Xenopus tropicalis: one gene and its partners. The protein of the gene in region 1 purifies or fractionates together with the protein of each later gene. This does not show direct contact. Links are inferred from orthologs where the notes say so. Each region holds a gene or a part of one and is shown on either strand. Other genes may lie near its edges. The genes, in order: mybbp1a, sirt7, npm1 and lyar.

The links.
Region 2: the proteins of mybbp1a (region 1) and sirt7 purify together in Homo sapiens (affinity purification with western blotting; 3 studies listed by BioGRID, with this or other methods). This does not show direct contact. The link is inferred for Xenopus tropicalis from reciprocal best matches to the Homo sapiens genes MYBBP1A and SIRT7.
Region 3: the proteins of mybbp1a (region 1) and npm1 purify together in Homo sapiens (affinity purification with mass spectrometry; 3 studies listed by BioGRID and IntAct, counting the BioPlex papers as one, with this or other methods). This does not show direct contact. The link is inferred for Xenopus tropicalis from reciprocal best matches to the Homo sapiens genes MYBBP1A and NPM1.
Region 4: the proteins of mybbp1a (region 1) and lyar purify together in Homo sapiens (affinity purification with mass spectrometry; 3 studies listed by BioGRID and IntAct, with this or other methods). This does not show direct contact. The link is inferred for Xenopus tropicalis from reciprocal best matches to the Homo sapiens genes MYBBP1A and LYAR.

The regions. Positions count from the first base shown.
Region 1 is NC_030678.2:100,984,731-100,990,434, reverse strand, and holds part of mybbp1a (myb-binding protein 1A), read right to left. Parts: intron 5,114-5,704; coding exon 5,018-5,113; intron 4,617-5,017; coding exon 4,533-4,616; intron 4,033-4,532; coding exon 3,958-4,032; intron 2,701-3,957; coding exon 2,593-2,700; intron 2,346-2,592; coding exon 2,155-2,345; intron 1-2,154. UniProt on the Homo sapiens protein: May activate or repress transcription via interactions with sequence specific DNA-binding proteins. Repression may be mediated at least in part by histone deacetylase activity (HDAC activity).
Region 2 is NC_030686.2:27,954,080-27,958,659, forward strand, and holds the end of sirt7 (NAD-dependent protein deacetylase sirtuin-7), read right to left. Parts: intron 3,543-4,580; coding exon 3,444-3,542; intron 3,343-3,443; coding exon 3,106-3,342; intron 3,011-3,105; coding exon 2,930-3,010; intron 2,854-2,929; coding exon 2,747-2,853; intron 2,082-2,746; coding exon 1,889-2,081; 3' UTR 1,714-1,888; downstream 1-1,713. UniProt on the Homo sapiens protein: NAD-dependent protein-lysine deacylase that can act both as a deacetylase or deacylase (desuccinylase, depropionylase, deglutarylase and dedecanoylase), depending on the context. Specifically mediates deacetylation of histone H3 at 'Lys-18' (H3K18Ac).
Region 3 is NC_030679.2:20,061,062-20,067,198, forward strand, and holds the start of npm1 (nucleophosmin), read left to right. Parts: upstream 1-2,512; 5' UTR 2,513-2,564; coding exon 2,565-2,625; intron 2,626-6,137. UniProt on the Homo sapiens protein: Involved in diverse cellular processes such as ribosome biogenesis, centrosome duplication, protein chaperoning, histone assembly, cell proliferation, and regulation of tumor suppressors p53/TP53 and ARF.
Region 4 is NC_030677.2:26,335,939-26,342,265, reverse strand, and holds the start of lyar (cell growth-regulating nucleolar protein), read right to left. Parts: upstream 3,924-6,327; 5' UTR 3,823-3,923; intron 1-3,822. UniProt on the Homo sapiens protein: Plays a role in the maintenance of the appropriate processing of 47S/45S pre-rRNA to 32S/30S pre-rRNAs and their subsequent processing to produce 18S and 28S rRNAs. Also acts at the level of transcription regulation.

The DNA of each region.
Region 1 (5,704 bases):
GGGTAGTTGTGGGTACTTCTATCCAAGCGGGAATTGCTGGGAACTTCACATTGGTCCCAGTTCAACCACGGCCAGCAGAATAATGCCCTACCCGACACAAATCCCCACAAACAAAACCTGAGTACCCGATACAGCTCCCCACAAGCAGGCACTTAAGTCGTATTGAAACAGTAAGTTATTCATTCTGAGTTATTACCCCCTCTATCTTGCCCCTATGGATACCAAATAGTCCAATCCAAGGAGACCAATTAAGGGAAGAGGGAGCCACCCGAAACCGGAATTAGGAGCTCAAAAAATAACGACTCAGATCAGGAGCTACAGACTGGGTATCTCAAATGATTTTGTATCCGTAGGTTGTTAGTTCAGAGTTATTGTCCCCTCTATCTCGCCCCCATAATTACCAGACAATCAAATTCAGGGAGACCAAATACGAGGAGAGCGAGACACAGAGTACCAGAATACAAACTCCAAAAGTAACAGTTCGACCAGAGTGCCCCTTCGCTGTTCTTATGAGGATATGCTGGAAGTCTTTACTTCTATACTAGCATTCACATATGCGCCGTTCATCAGCGATCACCAAAACCTGTATATCATTACCTCGTCGTGCCTACCATTACCCATTTAGGTTACCTCGGCACGACTACATACAACAATGCACGGAAATAAGGATGCCTGATTTACTGAAACAAACAACAGCGACACAGGTCAGCCTAGCTGCATAGAGGACATACTCCAGTTGCTAATACTGAATTAAATAAATCTAACCATCAACAACCACGTACAGCCTAAGAACAAATTACCTCATCGTGCCTACTACCACATATACAGGTTACCTCGGCACGACTACACAAAGTGGTACATAAGATTGCGAACGCCGACACGCGTTTCGCTCATAGCTTTGTCAAGGCGAATCTTATGTACCACTTTGTGTAGTCGTGCCGAGGTAACCTGTATATGTGGTAGTAGGCACGATGAGGTAATTTGTTCTTAGGCTGACTACTTGGTATCCATAGGGGCGAGATAGAGGGGGTAATAACTCAGAATTAATAACTTACCGTTTCAATACGACTTAAGTCATTCGGGGTGCCCAGCCGGGGCTAACTTACTCAGGTGCCTGCTTGTGGGGAGCTGTATCGGGTACTCAGGTAGGGCAGATTATTCTGCTGGCCGTGGTTGAACTGGGACCAATGTGAAGTTCCCAGCAATTCCCGCTTGGATAGAAGTACCCACAACTACCCCACACGTTTGATATACTTACCTTCTAGGACCCATGATTCACTTGCGCCGTTAACTTATAATCTGAAAAACATAAATATTAATAATATATTCATTTATCAAAATAATCAAACTGAGGTAATTTTCAACCTCTTATAAAGTTTGTTGGATTAATTTGAGCTACTCTTTAAGGCAGGATTCTTTAGGATATACTTACCTCCGATGTGGAAACTTTTTCCCAGTGTTAGAACTGCATTTGAAGCAACTGGGAAAGCTGCCAAATATATCACAGCACTAGCAACAATAGTTGCGAATGAAGTTGCAACATTATTGAATGTTTAAACCACATTAGAAACAGCCAGGCAGAGCTGCCCAATATTTCACAGCATTAGCAACAATTGTTGCGAATGCAGCCGTAACATTACTACACGGTTTTTCATACAGGACAGGAGCCTGACTGATATACTCAGAACTAATGTGAAATTTCTGCAGGTAGTTCTTTATATATATATATAATTTTACATATATATATATACTTTTAGGAATCTACAATATTTTGCTAGCCTAGTCACCACACTAAGAAATACCAGCCGCTAATAGAACATTTAGTTGGTCTGCTTCTGACCATGTGTAAATGTAGAGGTACTAAGATTGCCCCTTGTTATTTTAACTCCTAATTTTTCTATTCTTTTCCTATTTTGTAACTTGTGGATTTTAATTATAATTAATAAAGATTTCTTTTATATTCGCCAAGTGGTGTGCCAGTATTTTGTGTCTTTCTATCCCACTTGTAACTGCATTATACACACACTGTGCACTGTGCGAGGTTACCCTTACCACTAAATATCTCCTTAACACATGAAATGTAATAGATCACTACACAGCTGACTTTGATAAAATAACTATATTGCAAATGTATAAAATTGTGGAAAACCATACTTAGGAATGTTCTCCTGTGTAGTTATCACAGAGGATCCAAGCAGTTTCTTCAATTTTTTGGGTTTTAGAACCCCTGGAAATTTCTGCATTCCAACCAGCAGCAGATGCAGCTGCTCTGGAGAACTAAACGCTGATGTCAGGTCTGCACGAAGTACTCCAAACAACACTTCCTCGAATAAAGATTCTGGAATCTGCCAAGGAGAAAGTTTAAGCATTGTATGCTGTTAAAGTGAAAAAAAAGCATAATCTTCATAAATTCCCATCTAGATAACATTATACAGTTAAATCTGGAAATGAAGCTTGGTCGTTTTTCATGGCTGAAAATCTGATAAAACCCATCATCGATGCACCAACTTGTGCAAAAATAAAAACACACCAATGTTCAAATGCATTTCCTTACACAAACATTTATCATACATTATAACCAGCATGTCATACCTCTGAGAGAATGTCAACAAGTGTTTTCCTGGGCAGATCTTTCAAGTGTTCCTTATATTGAGCAATGTTTTGCAATATTTGCACACACTGTAAAAGGACTTTTGGATCCTGTAAAAAAATATATTGTGTATTAAAAGCGTAAAAATACTAAACAATCTAAAAATAAAAACAATTCGCAAGGGCTTAATTGTGAAACTTTTTCATATTAAAACTAGCTTACACTGCTTGATATGCTTTTGCTTGCCTCTCCCACTCACTGAAAGGATAAGTCAAACTTAGCAGTATATCATCACTATTTATTTACATAACAGCTAAAGCTGTCCATACACGCAAAAACCTTGTTTCGTACGATATTCGGTGCGTGTATGGCAAGTCGGTGAGTCAACCGTTCGGGCGGGTTAAAAGATTTTGATCGGGCGCCATAGAAGGCGCCTGATCAAAATCTGCCTTCAGGGCTGAATCGGCAGAAGGAGGTAGAAATCCTATTGTTTCTACCTCCTTATCTGCCGTTTCAGCCCTGAACGTTAGTGGCTGATTGAACGATCTTTCGTGCGAAGATCGGAAATCGCCAAATGTGTGGCCACCTTAAGAGTAACCTGGTCTGAAACAGTAGGGGTTTTAAGATAGCACTAACCATCTAAGACTGCAGCAGAGATACTGGATATAAACAGTTCACACATTTCAACTTTCTCTTGTGCTTAGACAATTCAACTGACTTGTGAAGAGGTTTTGCACACTTAACATGGATTATGATGTTTCATGACAAAGGATTAAGATTTATGGCTGTGTCACCACTGAATGTATTTCTTAACTGTATTGCTTACTGCCCTAAGCGTATACTAGATCTAATGTGGTATGACCCTAAGAAAATTGCTCCTCTGTGGGCCTAAAGACCACTTTGGGGGTGACTGTCTGTTGCTCTCTAAAATAGTCCTGGAATTCCAACAAAGAATCATTTAGGGCGAGATGTGAGTTTATTTGCTTATTCTTGAAACTATTCTTGAAAGTGTTGCATAACAGCAACATTTTTATATATCTGTAAGAATGTGATAAACTAAGGGGAGGCCCTGGCCAAATGCTGTACCAGAATGCAATATAATACTTGCTTTGTAGTATTTACTATGAAGCACTGACACTTAACATACCCAAAAGCTTTTAGAAGCCCAAGTTCACTACAGCATAAAAAACACGGCACAGTGTACCCTTGATGTGTCAGACAGCGCTCTACATAATTTATTAGCAGAGTGCAAAAAAAACACACACACACAAGTTTTTGGGGAGGAACCCTCAATCATGTACTTGGCTAACCCAAAATAATGCGCCTCCATTCTTTTTTGTGCTGTGCCTCAAAGGAGAATGTCTTACCTTGGCAAGACGACCAGACTGAAACAGTGCAAGGACACCGAAAAAATTCCCAAAGGCAGCATTTCGGAGTACTTTCTAGAAAGAAATGTTTAGGAGTGAAAATCAGATGTTACTGAACATATTTTGCAACCAATTTTCCACTTAAGCGGTGTATTCTCAAACACACAAACAGCATGGCAGCCAAATAGCTGCTGAACTTCTAAAGTGGAAAACTAATGAACAAAAGAATTCAAAGACAACTGAAAAAAAATGAAGACCAATTGCAAGCTGTCTCACAATACCAGTGTCTATGCCATATTAAAAATTAATTTATAGGTGAACTAACCATTTCAAATACTTTAACTATTTCTTTGTTTTTCATAATATAGGCAATATTTAGTTTGGCAACCCTAATGAGCATTATCCCAGAAACGTTTAGTAACAGAGCAATACTTAAGATGGCATGATCTTTTTAAATAATACAAACACTATACATCTACAATTGCATTAATAATGCCCAGAGTTTGCCAAATAGAGGGTTTTAATAAAACCCATCAGTAAGCCTGAACTGATGTTAAACTGATAAGAATTCTTACCTTGTTCAACCGCTCTAGATTATGTTTCTCAGAGATATGTTCTAATACTTTAGATAATGGAATTTCTTCAAAACTCTGCAGAACCTTTGAAATAAATTACGGTTAATTGCTTGAGACCAGGGGACTACATACAAGTTACAAAGCTGGGGTAAATTATTCTATATGCACACAAACATCTGGCTGATGAGGGTTTAAACAAAGCAGCTGGAGGACTTTTGGTGAGCTACCTAGTCTATCACAACAATATATTTATTGATGGTCACAAACTGACCAAATCTGGAATAGTGTGGTGTATACAAAACAACATTTCTGGTAAGTTATTCTTGAGATTTACATTTTCATGCTCAGCCACAGTATCTGCTGATCATATACTGTACAGTGAAAAAATATACACTAAATGAAAGCAAAATATGTTCATGATCGATGTCCCCAGTAACACATGAGAAATAAGCAATGTGGTCGACACACAAAATAAATGTACATACCTGAGCCAAGGCCAAACTAAAACCAGGACGCGCTGCTTCACGTGTTGCTGCTAACCCTTCTACAAGCCTTTTAAAAGTGTACTTTAGTTCATCTTCCTATGGAATATAAACAAATTACAACATTTTGAGAATGGAACAGCGCTTACAAATATTCTTACATTCGTCCACAGGTGGAAGCAATGGAGTGTTTAGCATTTCATTTGCTTTTAACCCTGAGCAGATCCCATGGAATAGTAGTTATCTGTGAGCCAAGGTAAGTTCCCACTGTAAAAACATTGCTTCCAGTTACCAGGAATTTCTGTGTAAACTGGAAGCACATTCCTTGCCACTTAATTGCAAAGGAACACCAATACACTGGGGAATGCCATGTAAACATTCTTCTGCCCCTACTTATCATTTATTCATCAAATAGTCAGTGTGTCTATTTTTGCTACCAGTTACAGGAAACATTTGTATTACATTACATTAACATTTATTTATAAAGCGCCAACATATTCCACAGCGCTGTACAATAAGTGGGTTACATACATTGGACATAGAGAGTAACACATAAAGCAATCAATAACCGATACAAGAGGTGAAGAGGGCCCTGCCCAAAAGAGCTTGCAATCTACAATTTGTACCCAAAAACCCACTGACTAATTAAAGTGATACTGACACTAAAAAACTACTCTTCAAAATCTGAAT
Region 2 (4,580 bases), on another chromosome or scaffold:
GTGACTTAAAGGAGAAGGAAAGGCAAAATCTATTAAGCACACTATTAAATAGTACTACTATTGCTGTGTAAAATCGCTATATTCCTGGCTTGCCTAATGAAAAAATTACAGAGATACACATACTAGAACTTACATGCTTGTTTCAGTGAACGGCGCCGCCATCTTGTCCAGCGTGTCTCTATGGGCTGAAAAGCACAAGCCAGCTCCCTGCTTACAAAGTTTCTGCAGCTCCACAAACCCCCCCCCCCGCTCCTCCCACATACCCCCGCTCCTGCCACAAACAATTGCTCGCTCTCAGCACCAGCTCGCCCTCCCCCTTCCTCCTCCTGCTTGTCAGAGAACTCGGCGACGCTGCGTCTCCATGGGGGGAGCGATGCATTATGGGAAATCTTCTCTACCCAGCTCAGCGTTTTTTTTCTGTTTGGCTTCTGATCTTCTGAACGGGTGAAGTATGGGGAGACTTAAGGGCACTATTGAGACAACTGAAGGCATGCCTGCAGCTTGGGATTAACTCTTTATTAGCCTTTCCTTCTCCTTTAAATCGCTTACCTTGTACCCCGGGCTGGTGCCCCTTTTCAGAGAGAACAGCACCAGCTCAGGGTAGCTGCGATCGCTTTTTTGCCTTCGCGTGCATGCGCAGTAGAGTGAAAAAGCCAAACTTAAAATATAAAGTCGGCTTTTCACTCTACTGCGCATGCGATTCCTCAGTGTTACTCTGAAGGGAAGTGAATTGCCTTAGGTTATCTATATAAGGGGGAAAGCAGTAGACTATTTTTTCTTTTGCCGATGACAATGGAATATATGATGCCAGGCTGTCTGAAGTTTGTTGCCTCGGAGAAGCCAGATCTCTGCAGTTCATTTTAGGTGTTAAAAGACCAAGCAGCTAAGGCTCCACCAAGGAGGAAGGAAGGGGTCAGTATCCCTCTGCCACTTTTAACGTATTATTCCTATATTGGGTTTAAATCAGATACCTGGTACGTTGCTGCCTGTTGCATTACCTCTTTCCTATTCAGGGAGGTTAGATGTATAGGCTTACCCTGTTCTGAAGTTCTTATGGCTATCCCTAGTGCAGCCAATCCCTGGTGAGCTCCCAGCAGAGAGCCCTTATTTAAAGGGGATCTGTCACCATAATAAATAACTCCAACTGTGTTTCTAACATTTGAGCAAAATAAACTTACACTAATATATATTTCTATATATAGAAATAATATAAATCTTCTTTCCTTCAGTCTTGGAATTCACAATCACAACAAGTAGGCAGGCGCCATTTTGTGGGCACTGTTAGTAAGGCAAGCTTTGCATCATGCCAAAATAATGTTTATGTGGCAGAATGGGGGACCAGATGTCTAAACTCATGCACTGGTTACAGAGGAAGGGGAAAGTGAGGAGTCCTGAATGGAAAAGTTATTGTCTTCCCCACCTCACCTCGCCAGTTTCTAGGTCTCTGTACCTTCTGGTGACCCTGCTGGCTTGGGCACCCTGACCTTGTTCCTGATTGCCAGGTAGGCACTCTGATCCTGTTCCTGGTTTTTGATCCTGATTCAGGAACCTTTCCCTTGCTGGTTTCCTTTAACCCTGTTTGTATTTTTGTTGTCCTTAAACTATTCCTGCTGAGCCAGTAAGTTTGCTTACCATATAATCCAGCCTGTCCTTGTACAAATAGTATTCAACTTATAAGTGGCGAATATAATTGAGCACAGTGCTTTTTGCCAGCAGCTTTAAACAGATTTTCAATGTTTACTTAATATTTGCAGTTTAAAAAAATACTTTAGGAAAATAAAATATCTTTTAAGAACATTTTATACAGCTTAATTTTTTTGTTTGTGCAAACAGCCATATATAGTGCAGATGTGCAAGTTTACTAAGGGAAGAGAGACCCCTCGATTCATCATCTTCTCATCCTCCGACCCTTGGTGTATCCTTTACCAAACCAGCCGCCACTTACTGGCTGCTCAACAACAGGCTGCTCCTGCTCAGGTATTATGTTGTGTGAATCTGCAGTCTTTATAGGCTTTCGAGTATGGCTTTGTTCTTCACTGGAGTGCAATGGGACAGCCAAGGAGAATATTGGATCCTGAGACCTGCAATATGGGTAATTATCAATAATGCACATAGCTCATCCTGTATTCATCATTCATTAATTATTAACTAATGTAAACTTCGCTTGAATGCTGACACATATACTTCCATGGTGTGGTCACCACCCAATTATGTATTTGGCCAAAGAGAAACACCTTTATTGATGATCAGCCCCTGGTGTAATTGCCCCAAAGTTGATTAGCTTAATAAGAAAACCAGAAAAAAGAATTCAATTCATTACATCTGTGCACTTATGCTAAGGGATCAGCCATATAAGCCCACAGGAAAGTATTTAGAAGGATGGGAGCCAAGCTGCAAACTGCAAGTCACAAAACAAAATTCTGGGCATTTTATCCACAGACTAATGAAATTTAAAGACATTACAATTTATTATACAAAGCAATTACAACCCTATTTTAAAAATTTATAAAAACTACAACTAGGAAGCAATACTATGCTATACTACTACTAAGGATTTATATGAAAATAATTTGCAGCAAATAACAGACTTGCCTGTTTCCAAGGCTTCTTTAAGCAGCTATTGTGTTACTAGTATATTAAACAAGCCTTGACACTACAGTTCTCTACCAAAATTATTTTTACTAAGTAAGGTGGACACCATCAGAGCTAGAAATAAACACATATGCAGAGATATAACTTCACTTACCGGTCATAAACAGGAACATTTAAATTCAATTCTTCCATTAAGATCTGCATAACATCATCACACTTGCCATTAATCTTAAGGGTAGCTACTGAATCCTTAGGGGTCCACTGTAAAGAAACAGAAAATGGAGGGTTACGAGGATCCAGACTGTGTTGCAGAAACGACTCTCTGGCCAACACTCACCTGTAAGTTCACAATATAGAGCTTTGGCCGACGTGCACGAGCCCTGTTCATGCCCCAGAGGCAGCTATACTTTTTCAGGACCTGAAAGGTGGTCATAGAGAAACAGGAGTGGTAGATAAGAAAAGAAAAGCTAACTAAATGATGGTAATAGCTAAAGTTTACATACTTGAATTTACCTTTAGACTTGAACCAAGACATAATATTACATCAGCTTTCTCAGAAGCTTGCACTGCTCCTTCCCAGTTTAATGGCTGTGTCAGCTTCCCCCGTTCTCCAAAGTGAACAATGGAGTCTCTAAGTTCAGCACCGCAATTGTGACAGAAGCGCCCTGTGTTGTGCCTGTGAAGAGCTGTGCGTTCTGTTACATCAAACAATCTCACATACTCTTTTTGCGGTGAACATAAGGTGCAGACCTATAAATGGGGGGAAAAAAGACAGATTGACCGATTACAAGGGTAAATGCAGCCCAAGCAGGAGCTCAGATTCTCATTCACACAGAAACACCTCAGCTCACCTCAATGAACATATTTCCATGAACTTCAGAGATGGCTTCTCTTGGTAACCCACTACGAAGATGTAGCCCATCACAATTTTGTGACACAATATGCTGGACCTAAAAAAGATGTGTAAACACAGCAAAACATCTAAAGCCATGGATAGAAATAAGACACAGTAAGATTTAATGTTGTAATATAAAATATAATGTTGTATATAGAAAATATATAAATAATAATAAACTCAAATAATTAAGTAAAAACATAATACAAGAAGTGCAAGAAAAACAAAAAAAAAACATAGTTTACTTTTTAGTGCTCTCAAATACATATACAGTGCATTCAGTAAAAGCACCTATGTGAGAAAAGGGTGTAGGAATACTGAATGTCCAGCAAGTGAATCAGTGAGTCTGTCTCCTCACCAGAATGTATACACGTTGGCAAAATCACAATCTGAAAAGAATTTCATGGCAACCAGGAAATTCCACCTTGTGCAGAGAAGACAGAAAATCACATACAGCTACTTACATAAGAAATGTGGTAAATAACACACAAAATGCATAGAGCTGCTAGTTTATACTTCTATGCCTGCATCTTTTCGGATTTATGAGGCCTTTACTGCAAAGGGTGTGTCATTAACATTTTTTGCACTATATGTAATTTTTTTTCTGCTCCATGCTTATTGGCAAGCCATTACTTCCTCATGCCTAGTATGAAATTTGCTTTAGTGCAGTCTACCGATGAGTAGACAGGCTCACTGATTCATTTGCTGGATATTCAATATCCCCAAACCCCCCTTGCTCACAGAGATGTTTACACTAAATATACATGTTTATGGGAGGCGCACAGTTAACTGATGGTGTGAATGTGTTTACAACATACTATAATAATTTTTTTTATATTGCTGCACTTCCATGTAGTAGTTTGTTTGGTTTTTATACCCAGCATAGGAGTGGGGCTTACAGGAGCTGTAATCAGTTTTACACACTTGTTGTACTTCAGTATTGGACCATGTTAAAGGGGACCTGTCACCCTAAGAAATAATTCCGAATTCTTTTCTATTGTGTTTCTCAAGCAAAATAAACTTCACTTACACTATAAAAATAATATAAATCTTGTTTCCTTCAGTCCTGGAATTACACAATCACTGCAAGTGG
Region 3 (6,137 bases), on another chromosome or scaffold:
TATAGGCCTTAAGGTTGAACTTAATGGATGTGTGTATTTTTTCAACCTAACTTACTATGTTATTGAATTTGATTTAGTAGGCTTTAAGCGAATTAAGGTTTCATTGCAAGGGAGTGTTCCCTTCTATTACCCACTAGTAATTTTAAGGGGGAAACTACTTTTCAGCCTGCTTAATAAATATATTTGTTGATATTGAAGTACAGTGGGTACATATTGACTACATATAGTTTTGAGACATAAAGTCAGTACATGTTTTGAGAATATAGAAAGGCAATCTGTGTTGTAGGTGCTCTTTTTGTGAGAAAAAGTCCAAGCAGGTGATTAAATTGTTTGTAGCGCCCTTCTTTTCACCCCTCTGATTCAGTTGATAATACAAAATAGCAGCTATGAGGAAGAGCGTGACTTTGACATTAGCGGTAGAAAAACCTTTAGAAGAGTTAGCAAGCGATAAGATACTTGAATACATTGAAAATCACAATGCATGAACTTGAGAAAGGGTCCTTTGTGGCCCGAAAAATGTTGTGGTTAATAAACAGTTGTTTGCAGCAAAGTACTGCGGTGGCTTGTGCTCGTCTCACTTCAGTAAAGATTCCACAATACTGTAATTTGTGCCACTATGGCTTTATGAGCAATAGATCTTGGCAGACTAATTTAACTTTCTTCTATGAGGAACCTAGACTCTCGGATGGCAGTAGATTTACTTAGACTTTGCTAAAGCATTTTATACAGTACTACACAGAAGGATACTCCTTAAATTAAGGAATATTGACCTAGAACATAAAATTTGCATTTGGATAGAGAACTGGCTGAAGGATAGATTACAAAGAGCGGTGGTAAATGGAGCAGTCTCTAATTAGACCAGTGTCAGTGGAGTACCGCAGGGGTCAGTCCTTAGCCCTTTGCTTTTTAACTTGTTTATTAATGACCTGGAGGTGGGCATAGACAGTACTGTCTCTATCTTTGCTGACGACACTAAATTGTGCAAAGCTATAAATTCCATGCAGGATGCTGCCGCTTTGCAGAGCGATTTGACTAATCTGGAAAACTAAGCCTGTGTGCACATCCTGTGCCTGGGCCCAGACAGGGCTGATACATTACTGGATAGCAAGCGGTGTAATTCCTGGCAATGTCATTCTGTGGCTACTAAAGCAAATAAAGTGCTGTCTTGTATAAAAAAGGGCATTGACTCAAGGGATGAGAACATAATTTTGCCTCTTTATAGGTCCCTGGTAAGGCCTCACCTTGAGTATGCAGTGCAGTTTTGGGCTCCAGTCCTTAAGAAGGATATTAATGAGCTGGAGAGAGTGCAGAGACTGCAACTAAACTGGTAAAGGAGATGGAAGATTTTATATTCTAAAGTATATTAATGTGTGTGCTGTATCGCACTTTAAATAGGGGTACAATCTCTCATATAAATGCAGCTTGTTTAGGAGAGATCATCTGAAAATACAGAGGTTTCCTGAACCCCTATGTGGCTCCCAATAAAAGGGCTAACAGATCTTTCTTAAACCCCAATGAAAGGGCTAACATGTTTCCTGAATGGAAATAAAAAGGCTAAAGGTGGCCATACACAGGAAGATCCGCTCGCTTGGCGATGTCGTCAAGCGAGCGGATCTTCACCCGATATCCCCACCTACGGGTGGCGATATCGGGGAGGCATGTAGGTGAGGGCCAAATGATCGAATTCTGCACGCGGCAATGGGGCATACGGTTCGGGGACCGCATCAACGAGCCGATGCGGTCCCCGAACCGACGGGATTTTCTAACCTGGCCGACCGATATCTGGCCAATTTCAGGCCAGATATTGGTCGGCCAGTCCGCTCGTTTCTGCCCCTACACGGGCCGATAAGCTGACGAGTCGGTCCAAGGGACCGATATCGGCAGCTTCTATCGGCCCATGTATGGGGACCTTAAGGTCCCTATGTATATGAACATTTTTAATTGACATTAAATAATTTGATTGGCATTAAATACACCTTTCAGATCCATTTTTTTCTTTTTAAAACCATTCCACATTTATTTTGCTAGGCTGAAATTAGTGTAAAAAGTAAAAGTGGCCTATAATCAAAGCCACACCCATAGCAGAAAAGGCACTGCCTCAGACTAGTATCTCACTTTCCATATTATATCAAAAGCAGTTTAAAACCAGTAAACATGTCTAAAGCCCGCATATGAGAACGTTACTAAAATTAATTATTACATTAATTATACACAAAAAGAGTTCAGGGATAGAGATCCCCTTTAACAATCTCTGCTATGGACACAGGCCTACACAACGTGAACTCCTTGCCATTATCTTACAAACAAGCACATGGTGGGTCACGTTAAATTCCTATAAACCCACAGCTCGTTTTGCGCAATCACATACCTCACAGCAGAACGTGTTTAGCCAATCGTAAACTGCGTTACTTGTTTGAGGGAAAATAGCCCCGCCTTTCTATGGCGTGAAATCTCGCGAGAAAAAGGCCCGTACATATAGAGACACGTTGCGCGCCATTAGTTCTCAGAATCCGTCCGTGCCGCTGTAGAGTAGAGGGGGTACATCTGAATTGAATTGGAACAAAATGGAAGACTCCATGGATATGGATAGCATTGCTCCCCTGCGCCCTCAGAATTTTCTCTTTGGTATGTATACAGTACCAGGGGTTTTGAAACTCGGCCACGGGTTTTTTTTGGGAAATATTATATAGACGTCACACGTTCCGCTGACTTGTTCATGGCTCCCCGGTGTCCTGCTTTTAACGGGACAGCCCAGTTTTGCGTCACTCAGCCCGCTGTCCCGGGCTTTTGTTGGAATGTCCCCGCTCCTTCCTCACGGTTAGACTGCTCCTGGGCGCAGGAGCCGAAAGCATGGATTCATTGCTGCTGCCCTTTGCCTTTCTATGGCTCCCCTCCTGCTACCACTACCACATTATGTGGAATATAGATTCCTTCTCCCTCCCCCAGGTACAAGCTGCACCAAATGAATGCTCTTTAACTGCTTCCGCCTCCATCTCTCCTTCATATTACCTCCCTACCCAGAGTTATCCTAAACTTTGAAGCCAATATTGCTCCAGTTTATCATCTATAATACCACCTATATCTATAATACCACCTGCAGGTTCTGTTAGCTACAACTCCCTGCACCCATCAATATCTAACATACATTGTACAGCTCCTATTTAGCTACAACTCCCTGTAACATGTGCCATTGTTTCAATATCTCCACGTGTAAATAGCCATGTGCCTATCAGCTGGAGCTGCCATTCTTACCTCTGCACTTATCATCAGGAAGGAAGAGTTAAATATATATAGATATATATAAAATAGTCTAGATAGATATATCTATCTATCTAATCAAATAGTTAAGAATTTTAAAACTAATTTCCTTTTTCTCTGTAATAAAATAGTACCTTGTAATTGATCCCAAGATATAATTAATCCTTATTGAATGCAAAACAATCCTATTGGGTTTAATTAATGTTTTGTTGATTTTTTTAGTGTATTTAACGTATGGAGATCTAAATTACAGAAAGACCCCTTATCCAGAATACCCTTGGTCCTGAGCATTCTGGATAACAGGAGATAGATAGATATAGGTAGATATATTCTCGATAGATAGATAGATAGATAGATACAGAGATATATCTCAGGTTCTCTATAGAGAACCTATCTCTGTATCTATCTATAGAGAATATATCTACCTATATCTATCTCCTGTTATCCAGAATGCTCAGGACCAAGGGTATTCTGGATAAGGGGTCTTTCTGTAATTTAGATCTCCGTACCTTAAATCCACTAAAAAAATCAATAAAACATTAATTAAACCCAATAGGATTGTTTTGAATTCAATAAGGATTAATTATATTTTGGGAACAATTACAAGGTACTGTTTTATTACAGAGAGAAAGGAAATCTGTTTTAAAATTCTGAACTTTGATTAAAATGGAGTCTATTGGAGACAGGCTTTCTGTAATTTGGAGCTTTCTGGATAACAGGTTTCCGGATAAGGGATCCCGTACATGTGTTTCAAAATAAATAAAAAAAAAATACACACAAGTGCCATAAATATCCCATAAAAGATATCTTTATAAATGGTGCCTGTTCATGTAATTTGTCACATGACTTGCATAAACTTGTGTATTGTAATAAAGTACCCACTGTTGTAAAATGAGGATATTCGAAGTCACCTTGGAGTTGGGCTATGGAATGTCTGATTTATAACACATGTAACACTTTTTTTGGCTGTAACCCAGCCAACTATGTAGAAGGGACCAAACCGAGCTATGGTGTAGTGCAACTACAACCCACTGTAGCTGTGTGCAGTTCAGAATAACAAATGAGAGCCAGAAGGTTCTTGCAGTTGAACAATAGAATCAGTTTATTGTTAGAGATATGCATGGTTATATATCAATATGCAGGGTAAGTGTAATATACTCACAGCAGTTTAGCATAGCATTTCTCTGCAGACAGCACAGAGGGTGCACATCCATTCCTCACAACTCCTCTTGAGTCTGGCCAGGGTCCGTGCCACTGGTTCAGTTTATCCACCCTTTGGAACAGTCAGATTGGATACCACACTCCTCAGGTTGAACACCTCTAGCCCTCAGGCTCCCACAGCAACTCTGGATAAGGGTTCTGATACTGCCTGCCTTCTATGTCTAAGGGCTCTGGCACACTGGGAGAGCCCTTAACCGTGGCCCTACGCTAAGGCAACAGTGCCTGTCTGGAAGTGTACTTCCAAAACTACTTTATTTGGTGGAGCCAAACTGCCCTTGCTTCCTTCCCTCACTATCTCGCTTTCCTAGAAAGTGCTCAACACAACATGCTATCTAACTGGTCCTCATTCACAGGGTCCCTGTCACTGACTTCTCTAGAGTCGATGCAGACTCTACGGTAATCACTTTACTGGGTCCCTGTTGATCCCAGGCTCAGTGGAACTTCCACCTGGGTCAGCAGATGGAGCCAAAGAGAAAGCCACACCCCCCTGCTAAGCACTATATCAGTGTGCCAAGGGAGTGGTCTCCCTGGTAACCAATAAGGCACATATGCAAAACTCTAAACTGATACATGGGTCTTTGCCCAGTAACTGCACAAGCCAAGGAAGCTGCAGGGTTTAAAGCCATAGGGGCATGTTAACCCTATAGGTCCCTACATGTATTTTTTTTTTTTTTTTTTTACAGTAGAGGGGACTTTAATCACTATTTGACGATGCATGGAGGTACAAAGGGCAATGCATTGTAAAAGTGAGTTCTTCAATAGGTAGAAAGATGTACATATAAAGCAGTTAGCCCATGCAAGAGGTAGAGGGCTCTGTCTGAAAGAGCTTACAATCTAAGGTAAAATATGTGGCATAGAGCATGGAATTTAATAGAACATTTCTTTAGAAAAGCTTGAGAGTTCTTTTAAAGGCAGGAAGACTGGGAGACAGTTGGACATCATGTGGGAGTAAATTCCAGAGAAGAGGGTGCAGCCCTAGTAAAGTCTCATTTGTGAGGAGATAATGAATGAGGTGTTGCATTGATCAATAGAGCGTAACAAGCAGTTTGAGGAGTTCAGAGATGTAGAGCGGGGCACAGTTTTGAAATGCTGCATGTTGGTGCTTCTTTAGGCAAAATGGTGATATGGGATAAACACACAGTGGCATGGATTTTTGTATGTTCTTCCTGTGTCCACATGGGTATCTTTCCTGTCTTATAGAAACATACAGGTGGATTAATTGGTCATATGTATATAATAAACACTATTGTGATAGGGACAGACTAAGCAGTACTAGTGCAGGGACTGATGTGAATGGTGTGTAATTTCTAAGAGCATTAAAATATATTGGCACTATATAAGTGTTTTAATAATCTAGTATAAGTGTCTCCATAGACAAAGGGATGCTTTAAGCGCTATTTCATAATGAGCTTAATTAGGTCTTGATCTGAATACTTTTCTTTTAATAAAGAAATCCGTTTTGTTATTTTCAGCAATAAATACACTTAATCCAGTTTCACTTTAGTACTTCCTGTCAGTTCTGGTTCTGACAAGCAGATGGACTGATATATTTACCAGTCCACTGAGAAGCCCTCTGATGAACTGCTCAAAGAGTGTACTTTAAGGGCTCTGGCACACGGGGAGATTAGTCGCCCGTGACAAATCTCCCGTGTCTCAGG
Region 4 (6,327 bases), on another chromosome or scaffold:
CCAAGATGGATTCTCAATCTCTGTATCACACAGTCCCAATAACCTTATTAAAGAGGCAGCATAACCCCCCTCCCCCCTATAAACATGGAATCAATGAATTCCAGGGCATGTGCTAAACATACTTTCAATTATTAAATATAATACGTTCTAAGTTCTACAGTCTATGGGTTTGCTCATTATGCTTTGGGTCATGTATAAAATTGCTGGGCAGCGCCAGTCAGTATGTACCGTAGTCTCTTTTCAGGCAGTTAGTCAGTTTCACATCTGCATCATGTGAGCACAGCACCAGTCTGCAATGGGAAATTGCCACAGGGTGACCACCATACAGAATACCTGCTCACTACTAGTCCAGTTAAGAAAGTCATAAGCCTTGTGGGCCGTTAGTAAGCTGAGAAAACATTCTAGTTAATGTCCTGGCAGACCCATAGCTAGCAATTAATCCATACGCAACTAACTAATGCCAACTGACCAACGATTGCACAATTGACCTGACATTCAAGTTACAGAGTGCCAGTGTCACATATTCTACATTTCTGGGTGCCATTATTTTCAATGCATGGATGCAAGTTCCCAATCTACGTATGATCCTGTTCTGCAGAAAAATTAAACATTACAATAGTAGTAAAAAAAAAAAATTGTCAGATATGAGGCTTTGTATGAGTTTTGGAACATGTGGACCCAAGGAACAATTGATAGACATCCTAGTACGGTGCATATTGCTGGGTCAATGAGGCAAGGTTTAACAATTTTAAAGAAACAGTAACACCAAAAAATGAAAGAGCTTTAAAGTAATAAAAATATAATGCACTGTTGCCCTGCACTGGTAAAACTGGTGTGTTTGCTACAGTAACACTACTATAATTTTTATAATACCGTATATACTCGAGTATAAGCCGATCCGAATATAAGCCGAGGTACCTAATTTTACCTAAGAAAACTGGAAAAACTTATTGACTCGAGTATAAGCCTATAGGGTGGGAAATGCAGCCGCTACTGCAAGTTGAAGTGATATCACCCCCCTCCCAGCAACCGATCAGCAGAACAATGAGAAGGGAGCAAGATAGCAGCTCCCAGTAGGTATCAGAATAGCACTCAATAGTAAGAAATCCAAGTCCAGCTTGGGACTCCCCCAGTTACATGGGAGTAGGAGAAACAATAGGTTACCTGAAAGCAGTTCTAATGTGTAGCGCTGGCTCCTTCTGAAAGCTCAGACTCGGGCACACTTTACTGCTGCGCTGCAAGTTGGAGTGATATCCCCCCCTCACCCCCAGCAGCCAATCAGCAGAACAATGGGAAGGGAGCAAGATAGGGAATCATTTAACCATGAAATAAACCCAATAGGATTGTTCTGCCCCCAATAAGGGGCAATTATATATATTGTTCCATTTCGCCTATGGATGGGTATGTAGGGCACAACTGCCTCTGCGTGCAGCTACTGTTCTGTGGGGCTCCATTGAAAGTGGGAACCATGGTGTTTGCATTGGATTGCACCCCACTTTATGGCCCCTTTGTTGGCAATATGGGGGGCATACAAGGAAATCCTTATGTGAAAGTGCCTGCACCCCTCCTATAATATCTGCCTTATGTCTGAGGGATGTGACATTCCCAATGTCAAAATAATTCATTGGAAGCAATATAAGCCGAGCCTTGTAGCAAAGAATGGAATTACCTGCAGAAAAGAATGTAAACTGTAATTGTGCATTCAGCCCGCACATCGTTCCCTTGCTCTGCGCTGTTGGGCTGGAGGCGCCATTAGTTTGGAGCAGCTTCAACTTGCACAAAGCGGCGCTACAGATCGGTGCCCTGAGAGCTCAGCAAATACCCCAATAAAATAATGAAATGGCACAAAGCGGCGCTACAGATCGGTGCCCTAATGCTCATACCTGTAAGGAGAAGCCCCCGCTCGGCAACGATGCCACGCGTCAGCACGCAAGTTAGGGCGCGTGCAGCTATGCATTTAATTCAGATACCGTATATATGCGAGTATAAGCCGAGGTTCACTTTTTAAGCACATTTTTAGTGCTAAAAAACTCGGCTTGTACTCGAGTATATACGGTAAGCTGCTGTGTAGCCCTGGGGGCAGCCATTCAAGCTGGAACAAAAGGAGAAAAGGCACAGGTTACATAGCAGATAACAGATAAGCTCTGTAGAATACAATAGTGTTTTATCTGTTATCTGCTATGTGCCTGTGCCTTTTCTCCTTTGAATGGCTGCCTCCATGGCTACACAGCAGCTTAATTATATAAATTATAGTAGACTTTCTGAAGCAAACACACAACTTTTACCAGTGCAGGGCAGCAGCACATTATATTTTAGTTACTTTTATACACTTTCATTTTTTGGTGTTACTGTTGCTTTAATCAGTTTAGTTCAGGCAGACGATAATCTCTGATCAAGTGTGCTTAATCTGATAAGGTAGTGGCAAAGGTGATGTTTCTAAGGGCTCTGGCACACGGGGAGATTAGTTGCCCGCGACAAATCTCCCTGTTCGCAGGCGACTAATCTCCCCGAGTTACCATCAGTTGCCATCCCACCGGCGAAAATGTAAGTCGCCGGTGGGATGGCACACGCGGCGGCACAATTTCTGCAAATTGCCGAAAATGCCTCGCAAGGCAACTTCGGCGATTTGCTGAAATCGCCTGCGCAGCGTGTGCCATCCCACCGGCGACTTACAATGGCAATTCGGGGAGATTAGTCGCCCGCGAACAGGGAGATTTGTCGCGGGCGACTAATCTCCCCGTGTGCCAGAGCCCTAAGGGTGAAGACACATGGAGCTACTAGTAGCAGCTACTAAAATAGACAATGCTGATAATTGTCTCTACGTTTTACAAGAGGCAATTCTCAGTATTGTCTATGGCAGAGTATTTTCTGGTGTAGCCGTGAGAAGTAGCTGCTACTAAGTAGCTCTGTGTGTCTTCACCCTAAGGACTTGGACACAGGGAGCGGTTTGTCCACTTCTCTCATTTAGCATTTATCCGTCAGGCTGAGAGAAGTAGATCCGCTTCCACACGCTGCTTCATTTTTTCTCCACAGGCCAAGAATCATCCCTGTGTGGCACTAGCAATACTGCTTCCCAAGTGGCACCTTTACACACGGCCAATCCGCTGCCCTACCTTTCTGTTCATTTTAACTCTCCGGTGTTCTAGCTACTGAAAAATCCTTTGGCTGTTCACCAGTTATATGGAAATCTCTCTACTTGTATTGGCAGCTTTACATTAATGGAGAGCACTAGTGCAGTCTGATACCCTGAGTCGGTGATCACTGGCTACTTGGGGAGACTGCCAGGTGTAATAACAGCCTTAAAGAGATTTAACCCCAAAAATGAAGTTAAAGTCCTGTGAGCACTTTTCCAGTTTAAACTGGTTACTGAGATAATGGCAGCTTTACACTGATTCCCAAGCTTTTTGGATCCAAAAAGTGCCAGCAACCCCAGCTGTGCTCTCCCTGCAGTCTCTTGAGAGAGTCAGAAGCCAGTTTATGTACTATAGCTCGGATGAGCACTGTCAGTAAGGCCAGTTTATATTTTGCATTTAGATGCCCTTTAACAGCACAGTTTTGCCAGAAGAGCTAGTGTGGGGGCTTTGCTGGGGGCACAGGGTACTGAGATAACTGATCCATCCCGTTAGGATTTAAACGAAGCTGAAACAGGATCGTTATCCCCCTGATGCCATGGGGTTAGCTGACACAGCCATACCCAGCCCCCCATACACACACACACACAGTGCTAGTCTAACAGCAGCACACCCATAGTGTCTCTCTCTATAGATCTTACAGTTTGTGCGAGTTGCAGTTCAGAAACCCGCTGCATCGGGCACCCCTTACCTCCCACTTCCCGGGCTCGGCGCAGCAGTCCCACTATAGCCTAAGGCGCCTCTCTCCCACCGTACCGCCAGCTATACCCACGTGTAGCGCTCCCGCACTGCGCAGACTATTTACTGTGACGCCACTTCCGCCCGGCTTCCCAGCGCCGCGACCTTGAGGGCGGAAGTGACGTACCTATCGGCGAAAGTCTTGACTCGTTCGGTTGATGGGTTCATGTTGGTGCGGCAGGGATAGAGCCAGAGGGGCCTCAGTGCCCGTACGTACAGACGGTAAGGGGCTCAGTCCGGAATGACCACCAAATGTAATAGTATATGTAAATAAACAACCTCGTATATATATATATATATATATACATACACACACACACACACACACACACACACTTAACCCTTTTACTGCCAGCCATTTTGGTCAAAGCGGAACTTGTATTGCCAGACAGTTTTTGAACATTTTGCACTGTTTCACTTTAGGGGCCTTTCCTCGGGGGGACTTTTAGTTTACCAAGGAAAACAATATATCGTTTTTTTCAGAACAACCTAAGCTTTCAAAATATGGTAGAATTTTTGTGTAATTCCAATTCTGTAACAAGATATAGGCTTCTAAATGTCTAAAAATGCAAAAAAAATCAAATTTTCCATAATATAATCACACATACTAGAAACAAAAATTATTTTATGCACGAATATACAACTGATTTGGAAAGTCCCATGTCTCCTGAACGTGCCAATACCAAATATATATAGTTTTATGGAGATTTCTCACTTGTATAGGTCAAAAACTCCCAGCAGTACACTACCAAATTCCCAAAGCACTGCTCCAAAAAAACTGCATACTTTGGATTTCAAGGCCAAAATTCCACTAACAGAAGGTTTATCCCAGAAAATTGTACATTTTTGGAAAGAACAGATTCTGGGGAATACAGAATAGGCACAACTGTCTGTCTACTCCAAACTATCAAGTTGCAATGCTTTCCTAAAGTTATTGGTTTTTATCAAAATTTGTGATTTTTTTTAAAAATCGCTTCAAAGCTTCTAGTCTATAGTATCTTATCTCCTACAGGTCATAAAGTAACCAAATAAAATACCCTAAATATAAATGCCTGGGGTCCACTGAACAGTTTGATGCCCAATATGTATAGGTTTACCTAAGTATGTGGCATGTAGGGGCCCCAATGTGAACATACCCCATATGAACTGTCATTTCTGTCATTTCAGCTTCTGCAAAATCAACACATTTACATCATTATATGTGGGATGAAGCTAGTAAAAAGTACGCTCACCCCAGAAAGTCATATATTTTTGGAAAGTACACATTCCCCCGAATCTAAAATGGGTACCCATGTCTTTCTACTCCAAAGTACCAAGCCGCACAGCTTTTCTAAAGTTAGCAATTTTGATGACATTTCCAAAAATCCCCTCAAAGCTTCCAATTTGAAGCATCTTATCTCCCACATAGCATTAGGTACCAAGATAAAACACCCTGAATTTGAACACCAGGGGTCCACTGAACAGTTTGATGCCCAATATGTATAGGTTTACCCAAGTATGTGGCATGTAGGGGCCCGAATGTGAACATACCCCCATATATACTGTCATTTCTGTCATTTCAGCTTCTGCAAAATCAACACATTTACATCATTATATGTGGGATAAAGCTAGTAAAAAGTATGCTCACCCCAGAAAGTCATATATTTTTGGAAAGTACACATTCCCCCGAATCTAAAATGGGTACCTATGTCTTTCTACTCCAAAGTACCAAGCCGCACAGCTTTTCTAAAGTTAGCAATTTTGATGACATTTCCAAAAATCCCCTCAAAGCTTCCACTTTGAAGCATCTTATCTCCCACATAGCATTAGGTACCAAGATAAAACACCCTGAATTTGAACGCCAGGGGTCCACTAAACAGTTTGATGCCCAATATGTATAGGTTTACCTAAGTATGTGGCATGTAGGGGCCCCAATGTGAACATACCCCCATATGAACTGTCATTTCTGTCATTTCAGCTCCTGCAAAATCAACACATTTACATTATTATATGTGGGATAAAGCTACAAAAAAGTACGCTCACCCCAGAAAGTCATATATTTTTGGAAAGTACACATTCCCCCGAATCTAAAATGGGTACCCATGTCTTTCTACTCCAAAGTACCAAGCCGCACAGCTTTTCTAAAGTTAGCAATTTTGATGACATTTCCAAAAATCCCCTCAAAGCTTCCACTTTGAAGCATCTTATCTCCCACATAGCATTAGGTACCAAGATAAAACACCCTGAATTTGAACACCAGGGGTCCACTGAACAGTTTGATGCCCAATATGTATAGGTTTACCCAAGTATGTGGCATGTAGGGGCCCGAATGTGAACATACCCCCATATATACTGTCATTTCTGTCATTTCAGCTCCTGCAAAATCAACACATTTACATCATTATATGTGAGATAAAGCTACAAAAAAGTACGCTCACCCCAGAAAGCCATATATTTTTGGAAAGTACACATTCCCCCG